Styela clava: one gene and its partner. The protein of the gene in region 1 purifies or fractionates together with the protein of each later gene. This does not show direct contact. Links are inferred from orthologs where the notes say so. Each region holds a gene or a part of one and is shown in the gene's direction. Other genes may lie near its edges. The genes, in order: splicing factor 3B subunit 6-like and coiled-coil domain-containing protein 97-like.

Region 1 (16,678 bases):
AATATGCTTGTATCGAATGATTGTTCGGATCCCACAAGCCCTCCTAGACTTTGCTTGTATAGTGTTGCTGATTATTTCTCAATGAATGAGCCTGATCTGATGGAAGCCGCTTTTGCACCATTGCTGGAAGTTCTTGCAAATGATCTCGGCCTTGATGATTTATTAGATGCCGGATTACACGTTCATCTTGCTGTTTTGTCAACGTTCGCTGAGCATCCTGGCTTAGCAGTTGTTACTTTGAATCATGATGCTAAAATAGATGGAAAGTTGGTTATGGAAGGAACACAAAAGAAAAGTTTTCTTGACATTTTATTCGGAAAGTCGTGTCTTGTTCCAGATCCACAAACAAAAGCGTATTTGTTTTTTGAAGATGTTGCGAGGATGGGTCCAACTGAGGTCGAAAATGAGGAATATCATCTTCAGAATAAAACAGATGGGTTCCATTCTCAACTGTTTTCTATTATTAGACAGTTTCTGAAACACAAGTCTACCCGTTCTAAGACTTTGCAGTGGTTTGGTAATACCATTGCTCATCATGGTTATCTTGCAAAAATGTGGTCGCACGAACACGTCGATGTTTTTATGGATGTGTTTGGTCCAGATGCGACACAACTTAATATTAGCAGCGTATTACTTCGTCTTTGTTTGCCCTTTTGCTCAGAAAAAACTGTTGTAAAAGGTATTGAAGAGGGGTCCTCGAAATCAACACCTCCCAAGTTTTTAAAAATTAATTCATCATATATTGATGTCACGGGACAGCCTGATGCCCATGCCAAGGGTGTACATGGCGTTCAATTACACAAGGATACCCGGTTGCAATCAACTGAAGACAATACACCAGCGCCAGTAACTATAGCTGACTCGTATAATTTTATCACAGAGTGCTTTTTCTTAACACACCGTTCAATTTATCTCAGTGTCCATGGCCTTATCAAAAAATTTTATAAGTTGAATCGAAGTTTAAATCGTGATGAAGATGTTTATCGTCAGATTCGTGCTTCTGGACAAGATCCAAATGGACACGCAGCTCTTGTTGTCAAAAGGTTCGAGACGGGTATGCGTAATTATTTGAGTATAAAAGGAGTGTTAACTGAGCCCGCTTTTCTCAAAGCGTGCATTCGACTTCATGGTACAACAGCACAATACTTGAATCATATTGCCATGTCAGACAACAATGATACACTGGCACGAGTTGTTCTACCCCTTCCTGAGGGCGAAACTGTGCCTAAAGGTCTTTACTGCATTCCTGAATATGTTGTGGAAAACCTTACCGATATGCTATTGTTTATTTGGAGGTTCGATCGTTCATCGGCGCACTTGTTTAACCCATTTATCCATGACATTCTTCTTGTTATTACGATTTACATGGGAAATAAAAGTAGAATGTCAAATCCACATTTGCGTGCCTCTCTTGCTGAAGTGTTACCAATTGTAATGCCTTTATCTGAAGATGATAATTCAAAAAGCAACAAAGAAGAAATTTTCAATGCTTTCCCACATTCTCCATTTTTAACTGTTGCTACTCTTCAGCTTTTTGTCGACATAGAGTTTACTGGCGATCCAAATCAATTTGAGCAAAAGTTTCACTATAGGCAACCCTTGTATCAAATCCTAAAATATCTATGGCAGAAGAAATCTTGTAATGACATGATCAAGAAGCATGTAAGATTGGCTATCAGTAATATTGATGAGGTTTCGCATCCTTTGTTTTTGCAATTTACGAACCTGCTTCTCAATGATTCTATTTATTTATTGGATGAAGCCATGGGGTTCTTGACACAAATAAAAGGCCTTGAACGTGAGAAAGCAGCAGGCGAATGGGAAGAATTGAATCAACAGGAAAAAATGCAAAAAGAAGGGGAGTTGAGACAGTTAGGAATGCTGGCAAAATATCACAATTTATTATCAAATGACACTTTAGACACCTTGGTTTATCTCACAGAAGCCAAAGAAGTCAAAGAACTTTTTAGTCATCCATCTCTGGCTGATAGAGTAGCTGCCATGCTTGATGACTTTTTGTTAAAATTAGTTGGGCCGAAAATGGGTGCGCTAAGGGTACGAGATCTTTCCAAATACCAGTTCAAACCAAAAGTACTTGTAGTGGACTTATGCCAAATATATGTCCACCTTTGCGTAAAAGATGATTTTTGCCATGCTATATCAAAAGATGGTAGGTCATATTCTAATAAGTTATTTCCAATGGCCTGTCAAGTTCTTAGACGTATCGGTAATGAAGAGTTACGACAGAAAATGATGGAAATATCTGAACGCGTCAAACTCTTTAGCAGTCAAGAGGAGGAAGAAGAAGAGATGTTTATGGATGCTCCTGATGAATTTTTTGATGCCTTAATGTCAACATTAATGCGTGATCCTGTGACTTTACCAACATCAAAACAGGTTGTAGACAGATCTACTATATCAAGACATCTGATGAGTGATCCCACTGACCCATTTAACAGATCTTCTCTTACAATGCAAGATGTTATCCCAAACACAGAGTTGAAAAATAAAATCACGCTCTGGATTGAAGAGAAGAGGAAGAAAAAACTTGATGAATCTGATAGCTAGTTCCAATACCATATTTTATGGCTACTGCCGCTATGCAATTGTGTTGTGTGTATAATTTTCCTTTATCCATGGTAGGTGGTGACTCAATCATACAGTGAACTGGGTCAAGTATAAGATTGTACAAATTCAATTCGCTGAAATATAGGATTCGCTTATGTATATTTGTACAAATTGCTGTACAATGATGGGAATATACCAAACAATCGACATCGACCGTTTATACCTGAACCATCATCAAATTATGTAAATAATATTTAGAAAGTATACATTCATTCTCATCTTCTTTAAATATAGTCATTCTGAAGTTTCACAGTGTTGTATGTATCATGGTATTCAAGATACCTTTTGGTTCTAGCTCAAATCGCTACTAAATATCAATCACCAGTTTTGAGGCAGGCCTGGTTTCTTCCTTTGTTTTAGAACATTTTTTGGGCCTATATATTGATGCTTGTGTAGAAGATTAGTGAAATATTTAGTCAGGCCTATTAAGGAAAGGCAAGACAGCTGTGAATTATTTACCCTTCAAGAAAACACTGCTCTGGTAAAAAAAAAATTTGGAAAGGCAAACTAGCTCTAGGTATTTAAATGAATCGCGTTTTTGCATGCATGCTATTATCGTAATGTCTATACAACAGCAAAACAACCAAAAACGCCAAATTATACCTTGCAGTCGCACCCGTATCAACGGTTGTTGTTTCAGCCCTACAGGTGGTAATGCCCCCCCTTTACAAAGATAATATCACTTGCAATGATAATAAATAGGATTTAATAGGAAACGCAGATTTAAAATTAATATCAATTGCATAGAAGAGATGATAAACACTTCTGTATATTAAAACAAAAAATTAAATTGGAATTATTCATGACTTGGTTGACAGCCGTTAGGTTCACATTTTACTTCTTGTAAGCCATTGAAATTCTTGCTGCTTTCGCTCAGAAGTCAAATCGATCATAACATTGGTTAGACAGGGCTCCCCATTATCAGCATGTTTGTTGAAAGCATTGTTAAGGGCTTGATCAAAGTTATCGGGTGTTTCTGCATAGTAGCCAATTCCTCCGAAAGCACTCATTATCTGCTCATAACGAGAATTTGGAGTCAAGAACATCGGAAGTGACCTAACCAAAGTAAAAATTAACAATTAAATTATAGATGTTCAAGAAATTCAGTAAAAAATTTATTGAGAGAAAATGTGAATTGATTTTCATCCAAGTCAAGACCAATCTAGCCAGTTCATTTTATTTCATCAAGAAACCAATACACCTACCCAGTTGCAACATCTTCTGTTGTTTTTAGTCCATCCCAGAACATTTTAGGTCCACCACTGTAAATACCGTTGTTGTTGACAACCACAAAAATAATGGGAAGTTTGTATCGTACTACAGTCTCTAATTCCATTCCAGAAAATCCAAAAGCACTGTCACCTTGTACACATACCTAAATAGTAAATATCAATTCAGAGTTCATGACAATTCCCATACAATTCTTGTATGGTTGAAGTTGACACTAATTGTCCCTTTTCATGCATTTGTTGAATACACTATATTGCTTGCTGTTACATTCCAAACACTATCCTATATAGAATACCCCAGAATTAATTCTTCAATTTTAAAATTCATTCAAACATTTCAATGAAAATAATTTTTTCCCTTCATCAATGATTACCAGGCAAAATGCCAAACTACTAGATTCTGGCACTGTGTCGTCAAGAAGTAATGAAATAAAGTAATAAAAATTAATTCAACCTTCACTAAGTCCTAGTCAATTTTATTTTTTTCCGAAATTGAAAAATAAATAAAATTCACCACACATTTTTACTGGGGATGGGAAGCCGCGAGAAACCAAAGAAACTAGCTTACCACTTTTTGAGGTTTTTGTCCTGGTTTTGCAGAATCTTGAGCATATAAAGCAGCTGCAATTGCAAAGCCAACCCCTACTCCCATTGTTCCAAAAGTACCAGCATCAAGCCTATGAGAAATCATATGTTGAATCAATTTTATGGTATTATTACAATACAAGACAATTGCCTTGTACAAAACAGTCTAATAATCATTCCAAACCTATGTCTTGGGTAATAGTTTTTCATCATAGTTCTTCCAATGTCCATAGTATTTGCTCCTTCCCCAATAATGATGCTATCTTTAGGCAAGTACTTGTTCAATATATCATAAACGGCATAGTAGCTGAGCGGTACGGAATGATCCGCACACATCGCCTACAAAGAAAAAGTAAGATATATTACAAAAAACTATCAATCAACATAAACATGAATAACAAACAATTCATTCCATTTACAAAATTTATCTGAATTAAATTACGATTAATTGTTATACCTTAACTTGCTCATCATTTTTCTCAATTTTCTCGTTCAAAGCTTCCCACCACTTAGAATCAGTTGGATGTTTCCACATGATACCTCTGTGAATTCCAACAAAGTGTTGCTGCATCTAAATTTTCAAAAAAAAATAGAAACAGTTAATTTGAATGACAAATGATATTCACGGATATACTAATAATCTCTGATAAAAACGTCACATACTCATCAGCCTTTGCTTGGTGAGATATAAAAAATCACAACTAATGGATAGCAATTCAAATGCTTAAAAATGTGTCTAGAAAGTAAATTCGCCGATGCTATTTGTATTATGCGAACATGAGTTTCAGCATATATGTATATATAAATTTCAACATACCTGTTTAACCACATCTGATATATTGCCATGGATGCCAATACTGCTTGGAACATTATTCCCCAATTCTTCAGCACAGATATCAATCTGAATCACTTTTACATATTCATCAAATCGCGGAGGCCTAAAATATGACAGTACTTATGGATACAAATTTGGTTGATGAACAAAAATTACGGGCAACTGGAAAGTAATGACAGTTGAACAATTTGGGCACATCAGGGAGCATTTGTGCAAAAACCGTATTATTCTATTAATTTCTATATATTTTGAAACAGGATTGTTACTCAGTAGTGTGACAAAATGAAATCAAATTATTATTTTGTGATGTATGTCTAGAGAAGCATATGTAAGCAATATCTGTATTATTAAATTGTGCTTTTAGGCGTTTTTTTGTAAAAATTGTACGCAGATAGACAGGTTATATATAACTCACTGCCGGAAAGTCTAGTTTCACTACTGCAATAAATAAATTTTCTGCAGCTGTTGTTAGTGCTTTGGTTGCGCTACCAAAAAACGTTGGTCAATTTTGAAAAATAAACAATAGTTACCTTCCAAAATGAAGTTGCCAGTTCAATCTTGCACCAATCAACAGTATACAGTCTGCCATCTGAAGAGCCCTGGAAATATTCCAATATTTTCATTTTGTATAATTTCGTTTGCTATCATTCCATTGAAAAATCAAATAATTGGAGGTAACTTACCTAGACCTCGCAGCAGATACACATAATGGATGGTCATCACGTATCACACCCTTTCCCATAGGTGTAGGCAAAAAGGGCAACGAATGCTTCTCCACAAATTCCAGCACTTCTTTTTCAGATCTGGAGTAGGCTGCCCCCTTGCCTATGATAACCAATGGTCTTTTAGCAATCATCAATGTCTGACATGCTTTCTTCATAACATTCAAATCAGCTTTCAAGCCTGATGGATTTGGGCACATTGGAAACTGTCTGAATATAATAAATAAGCATAAATATCAGTATTTAATGAATGTTGCTAAATCTCCAAGTTGCGAGCAGTAAGTCATCAGTCTCAAATCAAGCTGATACTTACTGCCCTCCCGATTCACAAATCATGTTGGGTCACTGCTGTTTCGAGTTGAAATAGATTTCATAAAAACAATGATATAGATAAATATGCCCCTCATTGGCATGGAGATATGAAATAAATGTCATTGTGAAAATCAAACTAGAATTCATTAATCTATTGACAATATTTGTCTCGGTATCAATGCAGCCATATTTTGACATATTGCAGAAACAAGCTAGTCAATTTTTCAATATTTTAGGAAGGCATCTATGAATGTGTGAAATTATCTTCAATGCAATTTTTTGCTACTTCGGTGACTTGGTTGGAGTATTTCCAAAACTGATAACTTGAAAATTCTCCAATACAGAAGGCATGGTCCATAAAATAATTTACTTGAAAATATTCATTTCAGGTTACTACACACTGATGTATAACAATCAGAAATTTGGTGAAGCTTACCTACAATCACCCCTTCTCACTGAAGCATTTACAAAATTGCCAGGAATATCAATATAACAAGCACCAGGTCTTCCATATATAGATGTTCTAACAGCTTTCTCAACAACCAATGGTATTGCTTCAAGACTAGATGGTCTAGCAGAAAATTTGGTATACATCCGACTTGCTTCTACCTGGAGATGATAAATTGGGGTAAATATATACTGTATATAACTGAATAGGCCTAATCATTCTGAAGTCCCAAATCCGTATTATAAGGAAACAAAATCCATAGACAAATACAAGTATAGCTATAAATTTAGACTTATAAAAATGGTGACATAACCTTGTTATGATAACCCCTAATATACCTGGGCAAATTCTTGAAATGCCCCCATCTGTTCCTGATCTTGATCAGATGAACCTCCAACAGTAATCATGGGCCAGCAGTTTTCTTGAGCGTTTGCCATTCCACCTAAAGCGTGTATCAGACCAGGCCCTGACACAACCAGACATACACCTGTGAATTACAGAAAATCATTAATATCAGTGCGCATAAAAAATTCAAATAATTCTTCACCACTCTCTCTCCGCTGAGCTTGAGTTAAAATTATGGTTAATAGCTAATTTTTCTAGAATTCTTAAATAGAGAGTGGGAGTGGTGACTCCTCTGCGGCCCATGGGCCGGGGCCACGGCCCATCAAGTTGTGTAAAGAAACTATTCACTTGGCTAACACAGACAGTCCCCGAACTCATAATAGAACTATAATGTAAAAAATCTGAATTTTTTTTGTCCTAACCCTAACCTGGTACACATACTACAGGAGTATATTTTTTTGGTTCGAATATCGACAATTTGGTAAAAATTGAAAATTTTGTTAAGATAATTGAATTTTTCCTGATGGGGCCGCGGCCCATCAAGCTATGGGCCACGGCCCATGTGGCCCAATTAGATGGGCCGTGGCCCCGGCCCATGGGCCGTAGAGGAGTCACCACTCCTGTAGTAAATAGAAGCATATTTTCCATGCTTCAGCAACTTTTATTTGAACTGAAAATGTTGAACATTTCCAGTAAAAATATGATATTTCTATGCCTTATCTTAAAAGTACCATCCACACAATAAATATTCCACCTTTTCAAAGCAAAATTATTATCTGTTTAGATGCATTCAATTGTGAAATAATAAGCAGTACAAGGATCTGAAAGTACTCAAATGGATAAGGAATAAAATAAATTTGGTTCTCAAAAATTTTGAAAAACTGGATCAAACATGCCACAGAAAACTGATAAACAATTTGAACAATCAGATCAAAAGGGAACCTGGCCGTCCAGTCAAATATCCAATAGCACCAGCAGCATATGCAGCAGCTTGTTCATTTCTCATTCCAATGTATTGAATGCCGACTGCCTGTGCTGCAATTGCAACCTCTATGACAGGAATTCCAACCACTCCAAACATGTATTTGATTCCCTGCGAAAAAATCATGAAAATATCACAGTAAATATGTTGGACATACCGCTAGAATTGTTAACATATTGCTGTATTGTTATTTCTGTAGAATGCAACACATTCTGACATTGGCATAAATAACCCACATATACATACTTGTGCTTTCAGACTTTCCGCCAAGGTTTGGGCCCCTGTGATATCATCGTCCATGATCTAAATTTTCTTTCAAATCCAAAATAGATTGCAGAACACCGAATTATTGATTGCAGGACGCCTTGTTACTGGAACCCTACTCAGTACTACAGAGAAAACTATATCAAGCGCAGTAGCTAGCGAGAATATGAGCAAGCAAATAAATTGATGTTAAGCGCAAACAAAGCCTGTTGAGCATTGGGCAACAGATTAGAAATGGCATCTTACCAACTGTGTTTAAAGGAAAAATTAGATTCAAATCGACGCATTTATAAAAACAAGCTGCCCATTAGAATATCGATATCCACGGAAGGCAATTATGATCAAAATGACCACAACATAATGGTAAAACTTATGACACTTTTTAACAGCATTGGGCATCCGCGAATCGTTCTTGTTACGTTTCCCCAGCGTTATTGCGTCATATTATAGCACTATTGAAATAGATTGTTTTAAATGGGAACATTCCTATTTTACGCGTAGGATCTTTCTATACATAAATACTATTTGACGATTTCTTGTCTGTTGTTCGGCTTCACAGAGGTGTTTTCGCTGGTTTATTCCAAATATCTGAATTTCAAGATGGCTATGCAAGCGGCAAGGCGAGCTAATGTAAGTTTTTAAATTGTAAATGATTTTGCTTTAGTTTTTATATGATAGTTTTCGTAAGACGTCGCGAATTATAATGAAATACATACCGGTACCAGTACGGTACCGTGTCCGTACCTACAGACCTAACTTACCATTCAGCTGTGGGGTCTGTAATAAATGACTGGAATAAGCTCCACTGCAACTTCATCAATCACTCCAGATTTTAAAGTTTTGTAATTCTAGTTTTGTTGAATGTTGAAGTAAGTGCCATGTCATCAAAAAGAATTTAAATTACTGAATTATGACAGAATTATCACATCAGAATTAAGTTAAGGTACCGTAGCCTATATCAATTAACTGTAATAATTCTCATGAATAAATTCAATTGTAAAATTAGTAAATAATAATTTATCGACCCTCGGACACTAGCCTACTAAATTTGTGATTTTGAAAGTCTGCCATCGTTACCAAACTGCCAAAGCAGTTTTATATCTTAATCTATTGCACTTTCACACTGACATGAAATTGCATAGCTGTGTATGCCTGCCTATTACTATAAATACGGGTACCGTACCTAAAATATTTTTTTTTACCCTAGAACTTTTTCGAGTGCTTCATCAAACACAAATGGATATTTAAACCAATTTTAATAATATTTATCGAATGTGCTGTTAACTCTGTTTTAATTTTAACATCGACCTTCTGTATTCCTTCTTACCTCCACAAGAATATCTTCTTTTTTCTGTTGATTCTATAATTTATAGCGGCTAATAACATTCATGTCTATAATTTTCAGTTTTACAAGACCCACACCTAAGGTAGAAAATAAATATCAGCACGTTGTTGTCAACAATTTCAAATTTTATTCATTTTTATGAATACTTTGTGTAAATGACTGTTTTCAAAATTATAATATATTAATTTGAAATTTTTTTAATTTTTGATTAACAAAAACTCCATTTCATGACAATTGTTATATAATATTTTTTATATTTCAGGTGAGACTTCCACCAGAAGTTAACAGAATTTTATATGTCAGGAATTTACCATACAAAATCACAGCTGAAGAAATGTATGATATATTCGGAAAGTACGGTGCAATCAGACAAATACGAATGTAAGATATCATTTTTATTGAAAATATACATTTATTGAGATAAAAAGAATCTAAATATTTGGCCAAGGATGGTTATGTCCGATGTAGTGTGGAACACTAAGCTTTACTTAAGGTAATTGTTGTTCATTTCAAGGAATTGATCTCAGCCCATTACGTCACAATTAAAAACTTCTCTTTTCTATTCCCTTCAACATTCAATGTACTGACTATTTATTTTATTGTTCATTACAGGGGAACTACAGCTGAGTCAAAGGGAACTGCATATATTGTATATGAAGATATATTTGATGCAAAGAATGCCTGTGATCATTTATCTGGTTTCAATGTTTGCAACAGATATCTTGTAGTTTTATATTACAATCCAAACAGGGTACGTGTTCCACGTTTGGCTTCCAGAAATCGAGCATGAATCCATATTATTCTTTATAATATAATTTTTAATTTAATATGGTTTGGTTTTATTTAACCAATGATGACATTGGTTGAAGAACTGACTTTATCTTTATTTTTACATTCACGTAAGATTGTCGCAAGGGAACTAATATCTGAATCATTTATGATTGTGTCACCTTTCAGATATCTCATTTATTCTAATCTGCTACTTATTATATTAGCCTTTAAACTATTAGTCATTAACTCATTCCACTTTAAATATTATATTGCATATTTAATATATAGATAAAATCACCCAACATTTGCATTAGAACAGTGAACAAATTTATTTAGTTCAATTATATTGGGATCATGTATATTATTATATTGCAATGTTTTCCAATTATAAAAGTGACATTTGGTTCAATTACACACTTTCAGACATTCAAGAAACAAGATGCTAAAAAGAAGCAAGAAAATTTGGAAAAGATGAAAGCTAAATTTGGTGTAAGCACAGACGACAAAAAGTGAATCCAAGATGGCTTTCCTTTTGTTTTTAATTTTTTACCGGAGAGGCAGTGTGTTTATTGGATGACAAAGTATTGGCAGTTGGATCTGTGACTAGAAACTGAAATTTATCCACTTTGGTATATACTGCAAAATTGTCTAGAATTTCACCATCAAACAACTCGTCATTGTTTTTGTGTAGACATTTTCAATCATGGAACAGGCATACAATTCGCTCACTTTTCGTGAAAATAGCGCAAATCAAGGTTAAACGCTATGTCACAAAAAAAATTTTTGAAGTTTGTCAGATCTAATTCTAGAATTAATCCAAAGTTATTTTCGCGCTTGCAACCCCCACTCTTTGAAAACTTATAAATTTGCCAATTTTGTCTTCTCAATATTTGCTTATGGCACTTTTCATACTTTCTCAATATTGTTACAAAAATGTGGGTACCCTACAGCTTCCATTTCAATGGAGCGCTTTTTGTAAATACATTGTTTATATCATCTACATTTACTTCAAATGTTTGTATATAGTTGTAGTAATGTATCAGAATGTGCCTACCAGGTTACTTTATGGGTGCTTATTTAGCTGCTGAGAGAACTGTTTATGAAGGTTATTGACAGGTAACCTTTGCATATTACAGTTTTTGACCGCTCACCTATTCACGGAAGTTGGATTTATCGTTTTAGTAGATGAAATTGGGAACTCGCCACCAATAAAATTACCGCAGCTCGTGTTACAGGCTAATTGAACTGCTATTACGTCGAGGTACTAAATGGGCTTCTAAATAAAGGTTTGGATGCAGTGACGTAGCTACCCATTGGATCTTGTAGATAAATCCACGGGCGGCACGCTGCTGGAGGGCGCAAAATGTGGCAAAACGAACAAAGACGGTCACATTATTTATTCTCAGAAATGCTCACAAACGATCTAACTTAATACTGATTAAAAGGAAGCTAAAAAAATTACACAAGTTATGCCCCTGAACCTGGGGTTCCCAAACCGCGGGTTAATTACGGCACTTGTAACGATTAAAAATGGCCCGCCGACTTTTAGTGCAATAGTTTAACGGTGAAACGTAAATGAATACTAATACAGTACGTTTAATACTTCAAGTGTTTAGCTTCTTGCGCTCTAGTTACTGCCAATTGTTACCTTATTATCACGGGTTGAGCATGTGAGCAAGTTATAGCATGTACCCTAAATTAAGAAAGATTAAAGATGTTCAAAAACACGAAACTAGACACTTCGTCAATAGTGTTTTTCCACGTATTTTAGCTCCATAGATCGTCGCCATTTGATCTATCATGGGGACATCCTCATTAAGGGGTTAGGGATACCTATTACAGTATAGGGGACTGTTGACCCTATCTGCGCGTTCTTACCCCCCTGTTATTAAACACACGTTAGCGGAGTAAAACCCCAACTGACTCCTTCAGAGGTCAATAAGCACACAATAGATTGAATGCTAAATGTTCGTATATTTAGATGCACAATCCAAATAACAGATAACGAAATACACTTAAAACCTTAACCCCAATATATATGATGAAACCAAATTTCTAACTAACAATGCGCACGATAAACACGAGCAGCACTGAGCGAAGGAAAATATATCATAAAGGGAATGAATTAGAGCAACGATCTTGTTTCAGGCAAATAACATGCACTATTAACAATATGTGGTGAAGAATACTAGAATACACAGGCGCGGCGGTGTGGCTCAACGGGCTAAGCGTAAGGGACACGCTCGCCACCGCACCTCTAATTACTCTGCGTGGGTTCGCAGGTCCGAATCCCATGCAGGGATGGTTATGTGTGAGAGGATCGCTGGACTCCTCGCCGTCGTTGGGGGTTAACGTAACCGCTGGTCGGTTACGGCTTACTCCACCACCAAGTCCATGCTTCCGAAGACAAACAATAAAACTAATCCCATACCCGACATGGCATCCCCGGGATAGATATGTAAATCTTTTTTCTTATCCTTATCCTAACTATCCTACTATTCTTATGTAGCCTGCCCGCTACAACAGCATCACTGAAGTCGCACTAGCAGGAAAAACGAAATATGATTGTTCAATCCTATTGGTGAAAATTGTTAGAAATCAGTGATGGTTTTCCAAATATTTTAGCCGTCGAGTTCGTCGTCATTTGATCTATCACGGGACACCCCCAATATAACATTCAGTGGCGGCACGTCAATAGGGCCAACCGGGGCAATGCCCCGGGTGTTTTTTCGGTATAATAAAAAAATATTCGAAAAATACCTCAATATCGGTTGCACAGACTGTCTACACTAGCCATATTCTCCCGACATGGTTCATTTTTCGCTCGCAAAGCCTTCGCCGAACGTCGACGGGGCGACGCCGATTTTGCCCCCGTTGCTCATTGTATATCGTATTCTCTCTTTTATCTTCCACTCGCCGCGTTTGTCTCGTTTGTTTTCTGTTTCTTTTACTAAATCATCGGGGCCGATCGGGGCTAGCCCCGAAATTATGACGACACAATGCCGACGTTTCTTACAACAACGTGTTGACATATTCACGCATTCCTTCTCGTTCGTTGGTTGCTTGAAGAGTTGATAGTTTCCTCGCCTTCGTTTTTGTCGCTTGTTTCGCTATTTGAATCAGTTAGAGACCTTTAGTCCATTTGCTTTCGATTTTCCACATTCCTTTTGAGCTCCTCACTTCTTTCCGGCTTCGCATTTCTTTGCCTTAGACCTCATAATGAATAAGGTTGATGCACTACTTCGCACTCCGTTTTCGCAGCTGCCGCTGGAACAAAAATTAGAGGTACAACGTCTTGGGCTTTATCAACCAAAAAATTGTTCACTGGAACAATCCCATGACGGAGGAAAGCGTCGGCGTACATTCTGCGCAGAAACTTGGTATAAAAAACACGAATGGTTGTGTTACAGCGAGGACAAAAATGCACTTTTTTGTTTTTATTGCCTACTTTTTGCTACCGCTCGTGACTCACGTTGGTGTAAATTTGGTTTTAGAGATCTTAAACATCTTTCCGAGCGTGCCAGGGATCATCAATCTTCTATGGAGCATCTGGACAATGCAGTAAAATACCGAACATTCGGAAATGTTAATATTGCAGCACAGTTGGATGAAGGACGCGCCATTTTTATTCGTCGGCACAACCAAAACGTCGAGAAAAACCGCCATGTTCTCGGTCGATTGATAGATGTTTTGAAGTTCATTGGTTGTCACGAGCTGTCCTTCCGTGGGCACGATGAACGGGCTGGCTCTTCTAATAGAGGGGTATTTTTGGATATGGTGGAATACACCGCATCCCTAGATACAGTATTGAGAGATCGATCATCTTGATGCCGCAAGTGTTTCGAAAGGGACATCTAAGGATATCCAAAATGATTTGCTCGACTCAATGTATAAAATTTATTTACAACATTTGGCTCTGGAAATTGAGAATTGCCAGTTCCTTTCGATTCAGTCTGACGAGACAACTGACATCACGTGCGTTTCTCAACTGGCTGTGATTTTTCGGTTTGTGAAAGATGGTAAACCTACCGAAAGATTTTACAGCTTTGTACCAATCGTTGATCGCACGGCTTGCGGGATATCGGCTGTACTGAAAGAAGTGTTACAGCCTTACAACGCGAAGTCAAAATTGATAGCTCAAACTTATGACGGCGCGGCAGTCATGAGTGGGTCGAAACATGGTGTTCAAGTTTATATAAAAGAAGATTTTCCTCATGCGCATTTTTTACATTGTTTGCACACCAATTTAACCTCGTTATTAAAAATATGTGTCTTGATCCCCCTCTCGTCCGTATATTTTTTGCAAATGTTTCGGGGTTTTCTTCATTTTTTCCGTTTCGCCGAAGCGCTCTGACCTCCTTCGCCAGATATGTAGCTGCCGTCTCCCAGCTTGTGCACCAACACGTTGGAACTTCCAATCACGCGTGGTGCAGGGCGCGTCCGAAATTAGGTCTGAGCTCATTGAGTGTTTCAATGGCATTCAGAGCTCTCCGGTTTGGGACGAACGCTCTGCTCTGTGAGGGAGGCGGCAGGTCTAAAGCGTCTGCTAGAAGATGGTGAGTTTTCATTTTTTCTCGCTTTTTTCTCCACAATATTCTATCACGTGGATGTATTATACGGCGCATTGCAGTCAAGGCTAATGGATGGAGCGTCTGTGCAGTCGTGTATTTCAGACTTCTGCGATGCTGTATCTCGTATCCGGGAAACAATAAAATACGACGACACATGGAGTGCTTCTTTACGCCGCGGGCAAACAACGCAGCGTTTGATTTTGTCTGCAAAGGAATGCTGTGACATTCTGGTGAATCAAATAGACGATCGTCTGCGCACTGAACACCCTGCCGCGTTCTCTTTGATGAACCCCAAAAATTTTGCAAAATTTGCACGTCAATTTCCCATCCATTTATTGGCTACTGTCTCCAAATTTTACCCCATGATAAACGTGGCTAAATTGGAAAATGAATTGCGATGTATATACACCAATCAAACTTTTTTGAACATCACATCAACTTGCGCGCTCTATGGGTTCCTCATAGATAACACTCTAGTAACTACCTTTGCGGCGTCTGCAAAATTTCTGGACATCATTTTGACGACGCCTATTTCTTCCGCCGACGCAGAGCGAACATTCAGTACGCTGAAGCGTATTAAAACGTATCTCAGAAACACAATGAAGCAAGATAGATTAAATTCCTTGGCTGTTTTATCCATTCACAGAGACGTTATTTCTGGGATGCATGACTTTAATCAGCGCGTTATTGAGCATTTTGCTTCCAAGAAACCGCGGCGTGTTGCATATATGTTCAAGCAGTAGAAGTCTAGCAGCATATATATCTATGAGTGAGCGACGCATGTCCTTATCTTTGCATTACCTTTCCTCTCTTCATAGTAACGTTTTAAACCTTATTTTAGGTTTTGTCTGCTTTCCCGAAGTTTCTGTTAATATGACATTGTATTTATCTGGGTAAATATTGCCTTTCCTTTTGAAAGAGTTTTCAAAATAAACTATGTCTATATTTATTAATCCCTTGACTTGGACCGGTTTTAAAGACACTTTCTTATCGTTAAAAATTGTCGCTTTTGCCGATTGGTTGTTACCGATGGAATGGTTTTTATACTCATAAAATGATGGGAGAACTTAAAGCGCTCATCCTGTCCCCGTAGATGGGGGTGACTTGGTCCCGCAGTAGCTTGCCCCGGTTGTCAAAATGATCACGCGCCGCCACTGATAACATTGATATTCACTTTTGAGATATAGCAGCTGGGCCGGATATGGACGATGGGATGCGAGGCTTGGCTTTCCTTCTACCTGGACTCTCTGTGCTCTTACGCTGACTATCTGCGATACTCTGTGCCCCTTTCTTCTCTTCGGTCGACTGTTTGCTCTGCCCTCTTTTCTTCGGCCGCCTGTTTGCTTTTGCCCCCATGCCCTACTCTTCTTCCTTCGTTGTTGCCTAGAAAGACCTAGATAAATCTGTGGACATACCAGTATATATCGATTTCTTATCTTTTTTAAGAAGTAATAAAATTATTGGGGTAAAACTGTTCAAGTAGTTTGATTGGGTATATTGTGCATTTTAACGTTATAAGGGTAGTTTTTCAAATATTGACAGTCATTTATTCAATCGTATTTAATTTTTGACCTTTCAAACGGAATCATAAACCTGAATAAAAAATTGAGCAAGTGCCATTTTTTTCAATTTTAAATCGGT
Region 2 (15,682 bases), on another chromosome or scaffold:
ACTTGTGCTCCTAATAAATGTTGTATATATATGAGAAATATAAAGTGATTGTGGATATGTTTCTCTTTTAGTGTATTTATTTTTGCTAGCGTTTAGTTTACCAACAATAAATCTTCATTGCCACTGTCTTTAGTCTGAACAAGTGTTGTGTGCGAGCAGGTCAAGGTTCAATGCAAAAACGAAAATAGAACAAGTACTTCTTAAATGCCTGTCACTTCTGGAAATATATCTTACCACACTATGAGGTGTGAATACTCATTAGACACGTGTTTATTGCAGAAATTTATTACAGCGATGTTATAAAAATACGATTTTTATCTTAATCTTTGACCAGATTAAACGTAACTTCTGCTGGCCTTTCAAAAAGATTTCATCGGAGAAATTAGATATTTTATCTATGTTTTTACACTTAGTCTTCTTTTATTCATGCAAGGACGTTCAATTTGGAGAAAAAGATTGACGTTTAAATAGGTATGTTACATTACCCCGTCAGACTCGTTTAATTATTATTTTTTTCAGGGTTTTTGCAGCTCTGTGATGAGAAAGAATGTTAAAGCGCAACATAAGCTAATTCCTACACGCTGCTGTTTAAATGTGGTACGCTTGGATTAAAGTAAAGGCTGTCAGAACAGAAATTCAAGTCTAGTTTTCAAACCGGCGTAGAAAATTCAGAATCATACTTTTTTTGAGTTTCATTTGAATTTTATAAATCAGCTGTTTGCAACCTCAGATGTCGTAATCATTTGGTCATAACTAAGTGTTAAATTCGACTGACACGATAGTTAGCGCCATTATACGATAGAATATATGTTTGGCTTCTAGACTTTTCAGATAGTTTGCGTATACGCTGTCAGCATTCGGCGTACTTTTGCGCCTGAAATGCATCAAATCTTATTTCCCGTAATCAAGTTATTACCTTACAATTAGTCTGTTAACCCAAAAATGCATTGATGTGTGCTGGATTGACAGTTTGAGCACGTCCGTAGGCGGTAGCACCATTATAAGTATACGTTTATTTTGACCCTATAATCAGTATAATAAACTAGAAAATAATTGATAGAAACCTAAATAAATAAAACTGAATATAGAATAGGAGAGCAAACAAAACCTCAAGAAAGATTATAAGCGTACCGATTTTAGATGAAATAGTATTGATAAAAGAAGCAGTACGTGTCCGCCCACCCAACGCATGCGTTCGTTGATTCAAATTTCCTGAAAGATCATTTGAAAGTTTACAAACGAATTGTACACGTGAATATTTTATTATTCAGCCCGTTTTATCTATTTATTATTCCAGAAGATGAATTATTTTCTAACGTCATTACCGGATTATGACTCCGACTGCAACACTTTTCGAACCTTGCCCTTCATGCAAAACTGACAACGTTGGGGTACCACTGTGAAGCTAGCAGCACTTTCAGCCAGAATATTTTTACACATTGAATATAGGTTCCACGCGCATATAGTGTTCACTTATAGGTAAATATGAAAATTGAAAATGCTGATCAAAATAAAATATTGTCACGAAAATAGATGAAAAATCTTTAAACTGAATGAATACATTAAATTTAACAAGAAAATAGTGTTCAAAAAAAGACTAACTAAGCGAAAAATGAATTTTCAGGTATTCCGCAAATACAAAGTTTCGGAAAATTATCCTTTTCGGAACCTCGATTCCTCGAAAACCGCCAATAAAGGCAGCACCACGACACATTTGGAGAAAAGCAGATACCATATAAATTCAATTTTTCTATAACAGAACAGTAGCAGTACGTTTTGGCTTGACCATATATATTACCAAACATATCGTGTAATCTAAATTTTAATAACGGCATGGACGTAACAAATTTAAAATTGATTTTGTATTTCAACTAAATTTGCTAGATAATGGTTAAAAAATATCATTTTCTTTTTGTCACACATTAATACTGTACATCTTTTAAACTTGGAATACGTTGCGGGAAGTAGAAAACAGCAAAAAATCATTTGCGACTCCTAGTGGATTCTGTCCTGGATTACAAAAAATTATCGTTTTTAAAATGGCGATTTTTCAAAAACCGCCAATAAAGGCAGCACTACGACATATTCGGATAAAAGCACATACATTATAGATTCGATTTTATTATGCCAGAACAGTAGCAGCACGTTTTGACTTGGCCATATATAATACCAAAAATAGCGTATATTCCTCGATTTTTAAAACAAAGGTACGTAACATATTAAAAAAGGGTTTGTATTTCAACTAAAGTTGCAGGATAATTGATCAAATATCTTTTTCTCTTTGTCGCACATCAATACTGTACGTCTATTAAAGTTAGAATAAGTTTCAGAAAGTATAAAGTAATAATAAAAATTTTGCGCACCCCCTTGAATTAGTTTGAGAATTTCGAAAATTATCGTTTTTGGATTAGTGATTTCTCAAAAACCGCCAATAAAGGCAGCATCACGACACATTCAGAGAAAAGCACATACCTTATAGATTCAATTTTATTATGTCAGAACGGTAGCAGAACGTTTTGACTTTGCCATATATAATACCAAACATAGCGTATACTCTTCAATTTTATGAACAATGTGGACGAAACAAATTTAAAAAGGAATTGTATGTCAACTAAATTTGCTGAACAATTGATAAAATATATATTTTTCTCTTTGTCACACATTAATACTGTACGTCTATTAAACTTAGAATGAGTTGCAGAAGAAAAGTATAAAATACCAAAAAAATATTTTACGCCCTCTCGTGGATTCTTTTCAAAATTTCGAAAAATTATCGATTTTGGAAGGGGAATTTCTCGAAAACCGCCAATAAAGGCAGCACTACGACACATTCGGAAAAAGTATATACCCTATAGATTTGATTTCACTATAACAAAACAGTGGCAGCATGTTTTGACTCGGCTACATATAATACCAAAATAGCGTGTATTCTCAGTTTTATAAACATTGTCGACGTAACAAATTTAATAGGGATTTGTATTTCAACTGAAGCTGCTGGAAAATTGATCAAATATATTTTTCTCTTTGTCACAAATGAATACTGTACGTTTATTAAACTAAGAATTAATTGGGAAAGTTTAAAATAAAAATAAAACATTTTACGCTCTCTATAATGGGTTCTTTTCTGAATTCCGAAAAATAATCGTTTTTGAAAGGGCGATTTCCCGAAAACCGCCAATAAAGGCAGCACTACGACACATTCGGAAAAAAGCAAATACCTTTTAGATTCGACTTCACTATACCATAACAGTAGCAGCACGTTTTGACTTGGCCATTTATAATACCAAACATAGCGTATATCTCAAATATTTGAATAGCGTAGATGTTCACATATTTTGAAAAGGTTTGGTATTTCAAATAAACTCACCTAATATCGTAATATTCCGTTTTCTTACTTTTTCAAACACCGATACTGTGTGTTAATTAAACTTGGAATAAGATGCAAATTGTATGAAAAAGTGAAAAATGTCTTACAACCTATATATAATTTTTCAATTTCCCAAGCATGCCGTTTTTGGAGTGACGATTTCTCGGACAATGGCCAATAAAGGCAGCAATACGACACTTTTGGAGAATAGCAGATACGTTAAAGATTCGATTTCACCAAACCAGAACAGTAGCAGCACGTTTTGATCTGGCCATATTTAATACTAAACATAGCATATCATTTTCAATTTTATCAACTATGTATATGTAACATATTTAAAAACGGTTAAGTATTTCAACTAAATTTACTGGAAAATTCATCAAATACTTTCTTCTCTTGGGTATACAACAAAACTGTACGTTCATTAAACTTGGAATTAGTGTGCAAATCTTAAAATGCCAAAAAATGATTGACGCGCTCTTGTGGATCCTTTTCGGAATTTCGAAAAATTATCGTTTTTGAAAGGGCGATTTCTCAAAAACCGCCAATAAAGGCAGCACTACGACACAGTCGGAGTAAAGCAGATACCTTATAGATTTGTTTTCATTGTGTCAGAACAGTAGCAGCACGTTTTGACTCGGCCATATATAATACCAAACATAGCGTGTATTCAAACTTTTATAAACAATGCAGACGTAACATATTTAAAAACGGTTTGGTATTTCAACTAAATTTCCTAGATAATTTATCAAACATCTTTTTCTTTTGGACATACATATATACTGTACCTCCATTGAACTTGGAATGAGTTGCGGAAAGTATGAAATAACGGAAAATCATGTTTCGCCTTCTTGTTGATTATTTTCAAATTTTCGAAAAATTATCGTTTTTGAAATAGCGATTTCTCAAAAACCGCCAATAAAGGCAGCACTACGACACATTCGGAGAAAAGCAGATACCTTATAGATTCGATTTTATTATGTCAGAACAGTAGCAGCACGTTTTGACTTGGCCATATATAATTTTATCAACTATGTAGATGTAACATATTTAAAAACGGTTAGGTATTTCAACTTAATTTACTGGATAATTCACCAAACACTTTTCTCTCTTGGTCATACATCAAAACTGTATGTTCATTAAACTTGGAATAAGACGGCGAATCCTAAAATAACAAAAAATGATTTGACGCTCTCTTGTGGTGTTTTTTTGAAGTTTTGAAAAAATATCGTTTTTAAAAGGGCGATTTCTCAAAAACCGCCAATAAAGGCATCACTACGACACATTCGGAGGAAAGAAAATACCATATAGATTTCATTTCATTATGTCAGAACAACAGCAGCACGTTTTTACTTGGCCATATATAATACCAAATATAACGTGTATTTACAATTTTATAAACAATGTACACGTAACATATTGTAAAAAGATTTTGTATTTTACCTAAATTTACAGGATAATTCATCAAACATCTTTTGAACGTTCATTAAACTTGGAATAAGTTGCAAATTGTATAAAACAACAAAAAAATGACTTACGCCCCATAGTAATTTTGTTTAATATCTCGAACATACCGTTTTTGGAGTGGCGATTTCCACAAAACCGCCAATAAAGGCAGCACTACGACACATTCGAAGAAAAGCAGATACTCCATAGATTTTGTTGAAATACCAAACCGTTTTTAAATATGTTACGTCTGCATTGTTTATAAAAGTTTGAATACACGCTATGTTTGGTATTATATATGGCGAAGTCAAAACGTGCTGCTACTGTTCTGACATAATGAAATCAAATCTATAAGGTATCTGCTTTACTCCGAATGTGTCGTAGTGATGCCTTTATTGGCGGTTTTTGAGAAATCGCTTTTTCAAAAACGATAATTTTTCGAAATTACGAAAATAATCCACAAGAGGGCGTCAAATCATTTTTTGGCATTATAGGATTTGCACAATAATTCCAAGTTTAATGAACATACAGTTTTGATGTATGACCAAGAGAGAAAAGTGTTTGATGAATTATCCAGTAAATTAAGTTGAAATACCTAACCTTTTTTAAATATGTTACATATACATGGTTGATGAAATTAAAAATTATACGCTATGTTTGGTATTATATATGGCCAACTCAAAACGTGCTGCTACTGTTCTGACTTATTAAAATCGAATCTATAAGGTATCTGCTTCTCTCCAAATGTGTCGTAGTGCTGCCTTTATTGGCGGTTTCCGAGAAATCGCTATTTCAATTACGATAATTTTTTGAAATTTTGAAAAAAATCCACAAGAGGACGTAAAATGCTTTTTGGTATTTTATACTTTCCGCAACTTATTCCAAGTTTAATGAACGTATAGTATATATGTATGTCCAAGAGAAAAAGATGTTTGATAAATTATCTAGGAAATTTATTTGAAATACCAAACTGTTTTTAAATATGTTACGTCTGCATTGTTTATAAAAGTTTGAATACACGCTATGTTTGGTATTATATATGACCAAGTCAAAACGTGCTGCTACTGTTCTGACTTATTAAAATCGAATCTATAAGGTATCTGCTTCTCTCCAAATGTGTCGTAGTGCTGCCTTTATTGGCGGTTTCCGAGAAATCGCTATTTCAATTACGATAATTTTTTGAAATTTTGAAAAAAATCCACAAGAGGACGTAAAATGCTTTTTGGTATTTTATACTTTCCGCAACTTATTCCAAGTTTAATGAACGTATAGTATATATGTATGTCCAAGAGAAAAAGATGTTTGATAAATTATTTAGGAAATTTATTTGAAATACCAAACCGTTTTTAAATATTTTACGACTGCATTGTTTATAAAAGTTTGAATACACGCTATGTTTGGTATTATATATGGCCGAGTCAAAACGTGCTGCTACTGTTCTGACATGATAAAATCAAATCTATTAGGTATCTGCTTTACTCCGAATGTGTCGTAGTGCTGCCTTTATTGGCGGTTTTCGAGAAATCGCTATTTCAATTACCATAATTTTTTGGAATTTTGAAAGTAATCCACAAGAGGACGTAAAATGCTTTTTGGTATTTTATACTTTCCGCAACCTTTTTCCAAGTTTAATGACCGAATAGTATATATATATGTCCAAGAGAAAAAGATGTTTGATAAATTATCTAGAAAATTTAGTTGAAATATCAAACCGTTTTTAAATATGTTACGTCTGCATTTTTTATAAAAGTTTAAATACACGCTATGTTTGGTATTATATATGACCAAGTCAAAACGTGCTGCTACTGTTCTGACATAATGAAATCAAATCTATAAGGTATCTGCTTTACTCCGAATGTGTCGTAGTGATGCCTTTATTGGCGGTTTTTGAGAAATCGCCTTTTCAAAAACGATAATTTTTTGAAATTTTGAAAATAATCCACAAGAGGACGTAAAATGCTTTTTGGTATTTTATACTTTCCGTAACTTTTCCCAAGTTTATTGAACGAATAGTATATATGTATGTCAAAGAGAAAAAGATGTTTGATAAATTATCTAGAAAATTTAGTTGAAATATCAAACCGTTTTTAAATATGTTACGTCTGCATTGTTTATAAAAGTTTGAATATACGCTATGTTTGGTATTATATATGGCCAAGTCAAAACGTGCTGCTACTGTTCTGACATAATGAAATCAAATCTATAAGGTATCTGCTTTACTCCGAATGTGTCGTAGTGATGCCTTTATTGGCGGTTTTTGAGAAATCGCTTTTTCAAAAACGATAATTTTTCGAAATTACGAAAATAATCCACAAGAGGGCGTCAAATCATTTTTTGGCATTATAGGATTTGCACAATAATTCCAAGTTTAATGAACATACAGTTTTGATGTATGACCAAGAGAGAAAAGTGTTTGATGAATTATCCAGTAAATTAAGTTGAAATACCTAACCTTTTTTAAATATGTTACATATACATGGTTGATGAAATTAAAAATTATACGCTATGTTTGGTATTATATATGGCCAACTCAAAACGTGCTGCTACTGTTCTGACTTATTAAAATCGAATCTATAAGGTATCTGCTTCTCTCCAAATGTGTCGTAGCGCTGCCTTTATTGGCGGTTTCCGAGAAATCGCTATTTCAATTACGATAATTTTTTGAAATTTTGAAAAAAATCCACAAGAGGACGTAAAATGCTTTTTGGTATTTTATACTTTCCGCAACTTATTCCAAGTTTAATGAACGTATAGTATATATGTATGTCCAAGAGAAAAAGATGTTTGATAAATTATCTAGGAAATTTATTTGAAATACCAAACTGTTTTTAAATATGTTACGTCTGCATTGTTTATAAAAGTTTGAATACACGCTATGTTTGGTATTATATATGACCAAGTCAAAACGTGCTGCTACTGTTCTGACATAATAAAATAAAATCTATTAGGTATCTGCTTTACTCCGAATGTGTCGTAGTGCTGCCTTTATTGGCGGTTTTTGAGAAATCGCCCTTTTCAAAAACGATAATTTTTCGAAATTCCGAAAAGGATCCACAAGAGGGCGTCAAATCATTTTTTGGCATTTTAACATTTGCACACTAATTCCAAGTTTAATAAACGTACAGTTTTGTTGTATACCCAAGAGAAGAAAGTATTTGATGAATTTTCCAGTAAATTTAGTTGAAATACCAAACCGTTTTTAAATATGTCACATCTACATTTTTTCAATGAAATTAAAAATATACGCTATGTTTGGAATTATATTTGGCCAAGTCAAAACGTGCTGCTACTGTTCTGACATATTAAAATCGAATCTATAGGGTATCTGCTTTTCTTCGAATGTGTCGTAGTGCTGCATTTATTGGCGGTTTTTGAGAAACTGCCCTTTCGAAAACGATAACTTTGTGAAATTTATTAAACAATCCACAAGAGGGCGTAAATTTTTTTTCAGTATTTCAGACTTTACTCAACTTATTCTAAGTTTAATGAAGTGCATTATTGTTGTGTGACAAAGAGAAAAATATCTTCTTTGATGAACTATCCAGTAATTTTAATTGAAATACAAAATCAGTTTCAAATTTGTTGTATATACATTGTTTTAAAAATTGAAGAATATACGCTATGTTTAGTATTATATATGGTCAAGTCAAAACGTGCTGAGACTGTTCTGACATATTGAAATCGAATCTTTGAGGTTTCTACTTTTCACCAATGGTGTTGCAATGCTGCCTTTATTGGAGGTTTTCATGAAACGACCATGTTACACGACGAAAATTCAGTCATTTTTAAACATCTCTCAAAGAATTATAAAAAAATTTTGTGCACTGTAACAGTCGCTTTAGCTTGTTTACCATATATTAACAATACGAGGAGTGTAGTTAATGATTGTTTTGCTTTAATTGCTATTGTGAAAATAATCAAAATATACACTTTCTTATAAAAATCATTGGGAACATTTAATTTTACGCGTGGGTATTTTCTGCGATTCTGTCAGTAACAATTTCGTGTTTTGCTGCTAGCTTCACAGAGGTCGTTGGTCTGGATTTAACGTTCTGATTGCTGGTTTGGTTCGATTTTTTTTTTGAGTTCATTGCTCGGAACTAAAACTTCGTCGTTTCGTTAGAACTGAATTTCAAGAAACTGCAAAAATGACTCTTGAAGAACAGAAAATTTACGCCAACGACGATCCCGAAGATCCTGAAGACGAGGAAGATGACGACGACGAAGAAGAAGAGGAAGACTTAGTTGACCCAATGGACGCAGTTAAGGAAACTTGCAATAACATTCCGGAGTGCTCGCCCTATAGAGAAGAGTTAGTTCGATGCGAGGATCGAGTGAATAGCCGGAGTCAAACGGAAGAAGATTGCGTCCAAGAACTTTTTGATTTTCTGCATTGTGCAGACCATTGCGTGGCTGATAGATTGTTTTCCATGCTGAAATAACTTTTAGGCCAACTTTAAAAGTGTGAAACTGTGTTTTGGTATTGTTTGTTTAGCATTAAAGTTTAGAACAAGTTATAAATTTAATTATTCTGTATGTGGCAAATTTGTTGAAAATGTTATCACCAATTACAGAATTACTGAATTTCAGAATTAATTTATATTTGGTTTTCTATATTTGAATAAAGTTTTGTGATTTATCAGCGATTGTATTGCTCAATTTTCAATGCTAAATTTAATTAGTTTGTATGGTTTCAAAGGTTAAAATCTTTATCCAAACTGACAAATGCCGTAATACTAAATGTTGATTCTTTATTTACTAGTTTATCACAACACCCAGACACTGTAGGACTGGCTGCGACTGTCTATAGTATAGATATATTTGCAGCTTTAACACTCATGAAATTCTGAGGAATTTTGTGCTGCAAATTTTTCATTTTATTCTGATGTGATTTTGATGGTTCGACTTGAAATCAAGCCCTAAATTGTGGATGTATTTTGATGATCATGGATGAGAAAAATAGCATTGAATGTTTATGTAAAAGACTAGCAGGTGAGTAATTCATACTCCACAAGCAGAAATGTCTAAACAATTGTGTTTTGATGGAATTTCTAAGATATTACTATATGAAAAATGTTTGCAGAGTATTTGTGTCATCAAAAGATAGCTAAATAGTCCAGTTTGAACACCGCAATGCCGCAGAAATTGATAACAAACAAGCCAATGATTTAGAGAGATTGCCAAAACTTCAAATGATGTTTAAGCACGAAACATAAAAGTACTACATGAGCGATCTCACTTTGTCGCACAGGATTTAACTTAAACAAAAAAATAGGATGAAATAACATTTATTACATGTAATATAGGCTTTTGGCTTCAAGCATTGCGATAATATATGCCAATGTCATACGCTCTTCGAAAACCTGAATATTTTTTATTGAAAAAAATTGCTATTTTGCTATTAAAAGTTTAATTGAAGTTTATTATAAATTTTTTTTTACTATATGAATATCATGAATTGAACCCCAATTTAAAAATAAGAGTTTTTGAATTGCTATCATGGGATATAATTTGTTTAAATATAATAAATTGATTTTATCTTTTGTTATTATCAAGGTTTGGATGAAGTTTTCTTACCGATTAAGAAAGTTGGAACAACTCCCGAGGTGATTGAAGACAAAGGAATTCTCACTGCTGAGAAAAAATATGATGAACTTCAAAAACATTTCGAACAAAGCCCCATGAGGTTCTTGCAAAGATACTATGAACATATAAAGCCAAATGAAATTTCCTGCTTCAATTCTTTACCAGAAAATGAGCAAGTCTGTTATTACATCCGGCAGATTTGTCACAAACAAGATCTAAAAGCAAGAACAGAACTTGACAGTCATTATATTTCACATGAAGTTAAAAATCGTCGATATCAAGCTATGCAACAAATGATTAAAGAAGGAGAATATTTTAATGAGGAAGAAATGAGTAAAAGAAATCCGAAGCTTTATCAACATTACATAGGAAGGTTTGTTTATTTCATTGCTCATTAGTCCTGAATCTGTGATATTGTCTAGTGCAGTGGTTCTCAAACTTTTTTTTAAGTGACGCAAGTATTCGAATAAATAGATTTTTGGGTCTTCCGGCCCAAGGATATGCTCAAATACTAAACGTTCAGTACTTTTATGGCCAAAATTAAATGAATATTATCATGAAACAATCATTTTGATATAACACCTATTCCTCCAAAAATTATTTTGAAGTGAGGAAACTGTGTGTGTTTGTCATCAGCATGGAATCGATGCATGGCTTTACTAAAGCAAATTGAATGTCAAGATTTTATGCAGTGATACTGCCCACGCATGCAATTACTATTGAGAAACACTTAAATACCAAATCTACAATAAACAATCAAATTTACTATAAAATAAAATTAGTAACTTTCAGTTTTTTATTGAAAAAAGCGAACTACCCAGGAAATTTTTTAGGCAACCCAGTTTCGGGTCACGACCCATATGTTGAGAAACACTGGTATATTGCAGTGGCTTTCAACTTTTTTGGTGGAGAAGAACACCAATGCAACATTACAGAGACTGGAGGAACCCCTGTGCAATAGTGTGATTGCCTTTTATTGAATAGAATAAACTTTAAGATAAATGTTCAAGTGATGAAAGCAAATTTATACTGGCAATGGCAAGTTATTTTCTTTGGAGTGTAGCAGGTTAAGTTCTGTTACACTCTAACACAAATGTATACAGTCGCACTTTGACAATTATTTTAAGCCAAGTAATCCAAGAGTCTTGCTGTACATAACAAAGCAACACAAATATATTTTTTCTCTGTCTTTGGCCTCCTTGCATTATATGCTTACGGATCCACCTGTGCAAGATCATTGTAGAGGTATGACTACGGTAGTTGGTCCCACAGAAATCTAATTATTAGCACTTTGACTAGGTTAATAATACAATACCGTTTAACAACACTGCTTGGGGACCGTTTGAGGTCATTGATACCATTTTTTTTAATGATAAAGATATTTCTCTATTTGTAATCGAGTACAGCTTGTATCACATTTTAAAGTTATGAGAAAATTTTTTTTTTTTCAATTTCCAGATCTGTACAAACTTAAAATTTGACATTCGGCATACCCTGAATTCAAAACTAAAACAGGTAATAAAACTTGGTTATCTCATCTTTCTTTACCAATATTCTGTCAGAAATCCCCCCCAAAAAAAAAAACAGGCCTATAATCACAAGATATCGAAAAAAGTCCATAACTGAAAAATATGACATTAGCTTTAGCTTTAGTTTTAGTGTGGCATTCCATCTATCTTCTTTTCTCACTAGGTTTCTATCGGCAGAAGAAAAAGAGGAAAGAATGAGTGCAAGAGCTGCTGCCCATCCAACCACACTTTCTGGATTCTTCATGGATGTTATTGAGAAGAAATGGGACAAAGAGGATGAGAATCAAGATGAGGAATTTGATGATGACAGTGAAGAAGAGGAGGAACGTGTGCCAGGTAAATTTCTTCAGGATAGGAATTACATATTCATCCCAGGGAGAGGAAGATGGTAACATGACTTAATCATATCTTGAACCACGGCCTCTCGTCCTGTTATCAGTCAAAGTCAGGTATGGGATCAGTTAGTTATTTGTTTTCGGAAGCATGGACTTGATGGTGGAGAAAGCCGTTACCGACCAGTGGTTACGTGAATCACCCTACGGCGGCTAGGAGTTAACCAATCCTCTCGAACATAACTATTCACGCATGGGATTCCAACATGTGAATCCACGCAAAGTAATTAGAGGTGCGGTGATGAGAGTATTCCCAACGCTTAGCACGATGAGCCACACCACAGCGCCGCGGTAAACTTCTTCAAATTAGGATGGGATAGGATTTGCATATTTATCCCGGAGGAGAGGAAAGTTGATAATAATTGTATTCAATATGAATAAGAATTTCATTTGATTCAAGAAAGTTACCTCGTACTAACACAAATGTACTGATCTCATTCGGATGAAACCTTGCAGAAATACATTTGTGAGAGTTTGACTGGACCCAAAATTGGTTGACCTGTTCACAGAGTTTAGGTTAGGTTTGGTTAGGTCTTCGTTCATCACTGAAACGATGCAATAGAATGACTTTTTTGAATTGTCCAACAAATACTATATTATGACACCTGGACAATTATCAGTGCTAGTACGAGCGGTTGTTAGTACTAGGTTGTGATATGATTGACCACGTTAGTCAGATAGTTTTTTTTTCGGAACAAAATTTAAATTCTGCCATATCCTATTTCCTTTAATCATTCTTTTCATAGATATTTCCGAAGAAGAGAAGGAGTTTTTAGCTGAAGAATTTAAATCCAGAATGTACGAGAGTTTTCTCAGTGGAATGGATAAAAATTTCTCATATGAGTACGTATTTTTACATCGAAAGTGGAGTTTGGTTCATCATATCTGCAATATTACATAATCCTGACTTACTCGAACACAGGTGTCAAGCTCTGCCTTGTTTGAGATAGCGATACCATGGGACTGCCAGGCGATGGACCTGATGCCTTTTCAAGTCTGATAATATTATGTTAATTTTATTCCATCTTTAATAGATCTTTAGCTAGTGGAATATGCAAGTCAACACCTCGCCCACATGTTCCCTCATCCCCCTTTTATTATACATTGAATTATAGTAGTTTATAATGTGTTCATAATTAATTATTATAGAAATAATGAAAAAATACTCAGCAAATAAAAAGCGGATTTTCTTCTTCGAATACTTCCTCCCAGGTTGGGAAACAAGGGGTTATACCTGACATGGGGCCAAACACGGCCGTTGGGTAATTCAAACTGGCTCGCTCGATGCTGCCACAACCAAACTAAAACCAAATTTTGATGTTTTAACTCAAGGAATTTGTTGAGAATGCGATTAAATTTAGTTTTGGCACGAGAATTATGGTTTTCCAGTTTTGCTCTTGCGACACTGTAAATATTGTTCATAAAGTGTAAATTTTTGCGTCACACCCACATGGCCCTTCAGTTTGGGCGGACAAAATTCGTGGCCCCGGGTCGAAAATCCTTGCCCACCCTTGGGTTATACTGTGTTCATTAAGTCTTTATTTCAACAGGGATGTTGACATGAACACAGATTATGATGATTTTCATCAGATTGAACGTGATGTTGAAGACGATTATTTCGATCAGGAGGAACCATCGTTGAATCTTCCTGGAGAAGTTGATCAAGGTGCTGAAGATTCAGAAGATGAACTAGATAGATATATGAAGACGATAGATTCTTCGGGTAATGGATAAGGTTTCGAAGTTATGTGTTGGAAAAGTGAGAAACCCACAAAGCGCTATCACCATGCTATGGTGCATACAGTACAGTCGCGATAAAAGTGAGCGATATGCGTAGTGGAGCAGTTGAAAGCATAAGACTTAACGTCACATCCATCGCAGGTTACGTGTCCCTGGTTCAAATACCATGCTCATAACCTAACCCAAGGTGTAATAAATTGGGTAGATGTGGCCGAACTGAAAGATTCTGGTTCCTCTAAAGCAGGGGTCGGGAACCTTTTTGGGCAAGAGAGCCATGAAAGGTGCATATTTTCAATTGCTTTTTGGTGCGAGCCGTATGACATTTTCATCACCTAATCGTGTCTTAAATTTTTACTCAAAAGTCAACACATACAATGTCGATACTGTATACAATCTGGTGCTGCATATTGTCGCCGAGGGCCTTGTGACTGCTCACATGCAGCACAAGTTGAAATCCACGTTACTCATCACCTTTCTTTCTTTTGGGCATCACCGTAGTGCTTTAAAAATTAGTTTTGCTGGCCCAATCTAAATTTTACAAATAAACAGTACAAACTGACGGAATACTTATTACTTATCGATTTTAATCAGTATGTTAATAGGTATTTATCTGTTTGTTTGTCTGTCTGTTAGATGCACGCGATATCTCACGAAAGCGAGATTGAATCTGCTCCATATTTTGCATGTGCATTCATCACATGTCGGACCAGAAGCCTATAGATTTTGGATGAATTATGTTGTATAATTAGCGAGGTATTAATTAGTAGTGGGACACAAGGTGTCACTATGGAGTAAGAGCACTGTTTTGGGGGATCCCCTAACTTTCGATCGGTAAGTCTTCGATCTCTGACCGTTATTCTCATTCCATTATTGCCCCGCGACTCTATCGCTTCGTGATATCACAAAATATGTTCCAGAATCCCCTAGTTTCTTTCCCATGCGCTAAGCGCTCGCTCTGCAACGTGTTGTCAAAATTGGCTAAAAAGGAGAAATCTGGTAACAATAGTAAGCTTAGCCTTAGAATGTTGGATATTTCTGGGAGCCATATGCCCTTGGCAAATAAGGGGTTGGTTATATGGCTCGCGGGCTATGGGTTCTCGACCTCTGCTCTGAAGGTAGCACCTCCATCATATTTTTAGTTATCGGTTGTACGTTGTGGATAAGAGTTGTATAAAAAGTCTCAAATCCCCCCGGGGTCTTCAAGTGAAATTCCCCATCATAGTCGTGAGTCAAGTCAAAATTACCTCAAGTTTTGATTGATCCATCAGGTCACCGTGCCTTCCGTTTACAAGGGGAGGCGCAGCACTGAGTGCATTGGCAATTCCATGCTACAATACAGTTGTGTCAAAGTCCCTATACGTGTCCAGAGTCTGGAAACTGCTATCGAGAGACCAAGTCAAGTGGTAGATTTGATAAAGAACAGTAAAGTGGATAAATATGAGTCACATTGACACTTGTTTTAAACTTTATTGGGGCACATAGAGCTGTGACGTTTTGGTGGAGCCAAGCTCAACATGCCAGATTGGAGCCGTAGCTAACAGAAATTTTAGTGGCTCCAGCCCTTGACCATCTAAATTATTTTTCACATTTCTAGTTTCGCATAACCTGAAACTTGATAAAAT

Evidence for each region.
Region 2: the proteins of splicing factor 3B subunit 6-like (region 1) and coiled-coil domain-containing protein 97-like purify together in Homo sapiens (affinity purification with mass spectrometry; 3 studies listed by BioGRID and IntAct, counting the BioPlex papers as one, with this or other methods). This does not show direct contact. The link is inferred for Styela clava from reciprocal best matches to the Homo sapiens genes SF3B6 and CCDC97.

What each region holds. Positions count from the first base shown.
Region 1 is NC_135263.1:10,169,365-10,186,042, reverse strand, and holds splicing factor 3B subunit 6-like, read left to right. Parts: upstream 1-8,836; 5' UTR 8,837-8,950; coding exon 8,951-8,980; intron 8,981-9,957; coding exon 9,958-10,076; intron 10,077-10,307; coding exon 10,308-10,446; intron 10,447-10,889; coding exon 10,890-10,979; 3' UTR 10,980-11,466; downstream 11,467-16,678. Other genes in the region: ubiquitin conjugation factor E4 A-like, read left to right, coding at 1-2,568; 2-hydroxyacyl-CoA lyase 1-like, read right to left, coding at 3,456-3,684, 3,834-4,003, 4,426-4,534, 4,627-4,781, 4,900-5,013, 5,260-5,380, 5,808-5,876, 5,961-6,209 and 4 more.
Region 2 is NC_135257.1:17,897,230-17,912,911, forward strand, and holds coiled-coil domain-containing protein 97-like, read left to right. Parts: upstream 1-9,666; 5' UTR 9,667-9,753; coding exon 9,754-9,805; intron 9,806-10,369; coding exon 10,370-10,772; intron 10,773-12,091; coding exon 12,092-12,264; intron 12,265-13,066; coding exon 13,067-13,163; intron 13,164-13,870; coding exon 13,871-14,054; 3' UTR 14,055-15,109; coding exon of another isoform or gene 15,110-15,173; 3' UTR 15,174-15,416; downstream 15,417-15,682. Other genes in the region: mediator of RNA polymerase II transcription subunit 18-like, read left to right, coding at 15,110-15,173; cytochrome b-c1 complex subunit 6, mitochondrial-like, read left to right, coding at 8,962-9,255. UniProt on the Homo sapiens protein: May play a role pre-mRNA splicing through the association with the splicing factor SF3B complex which is involved in branch-site recognition.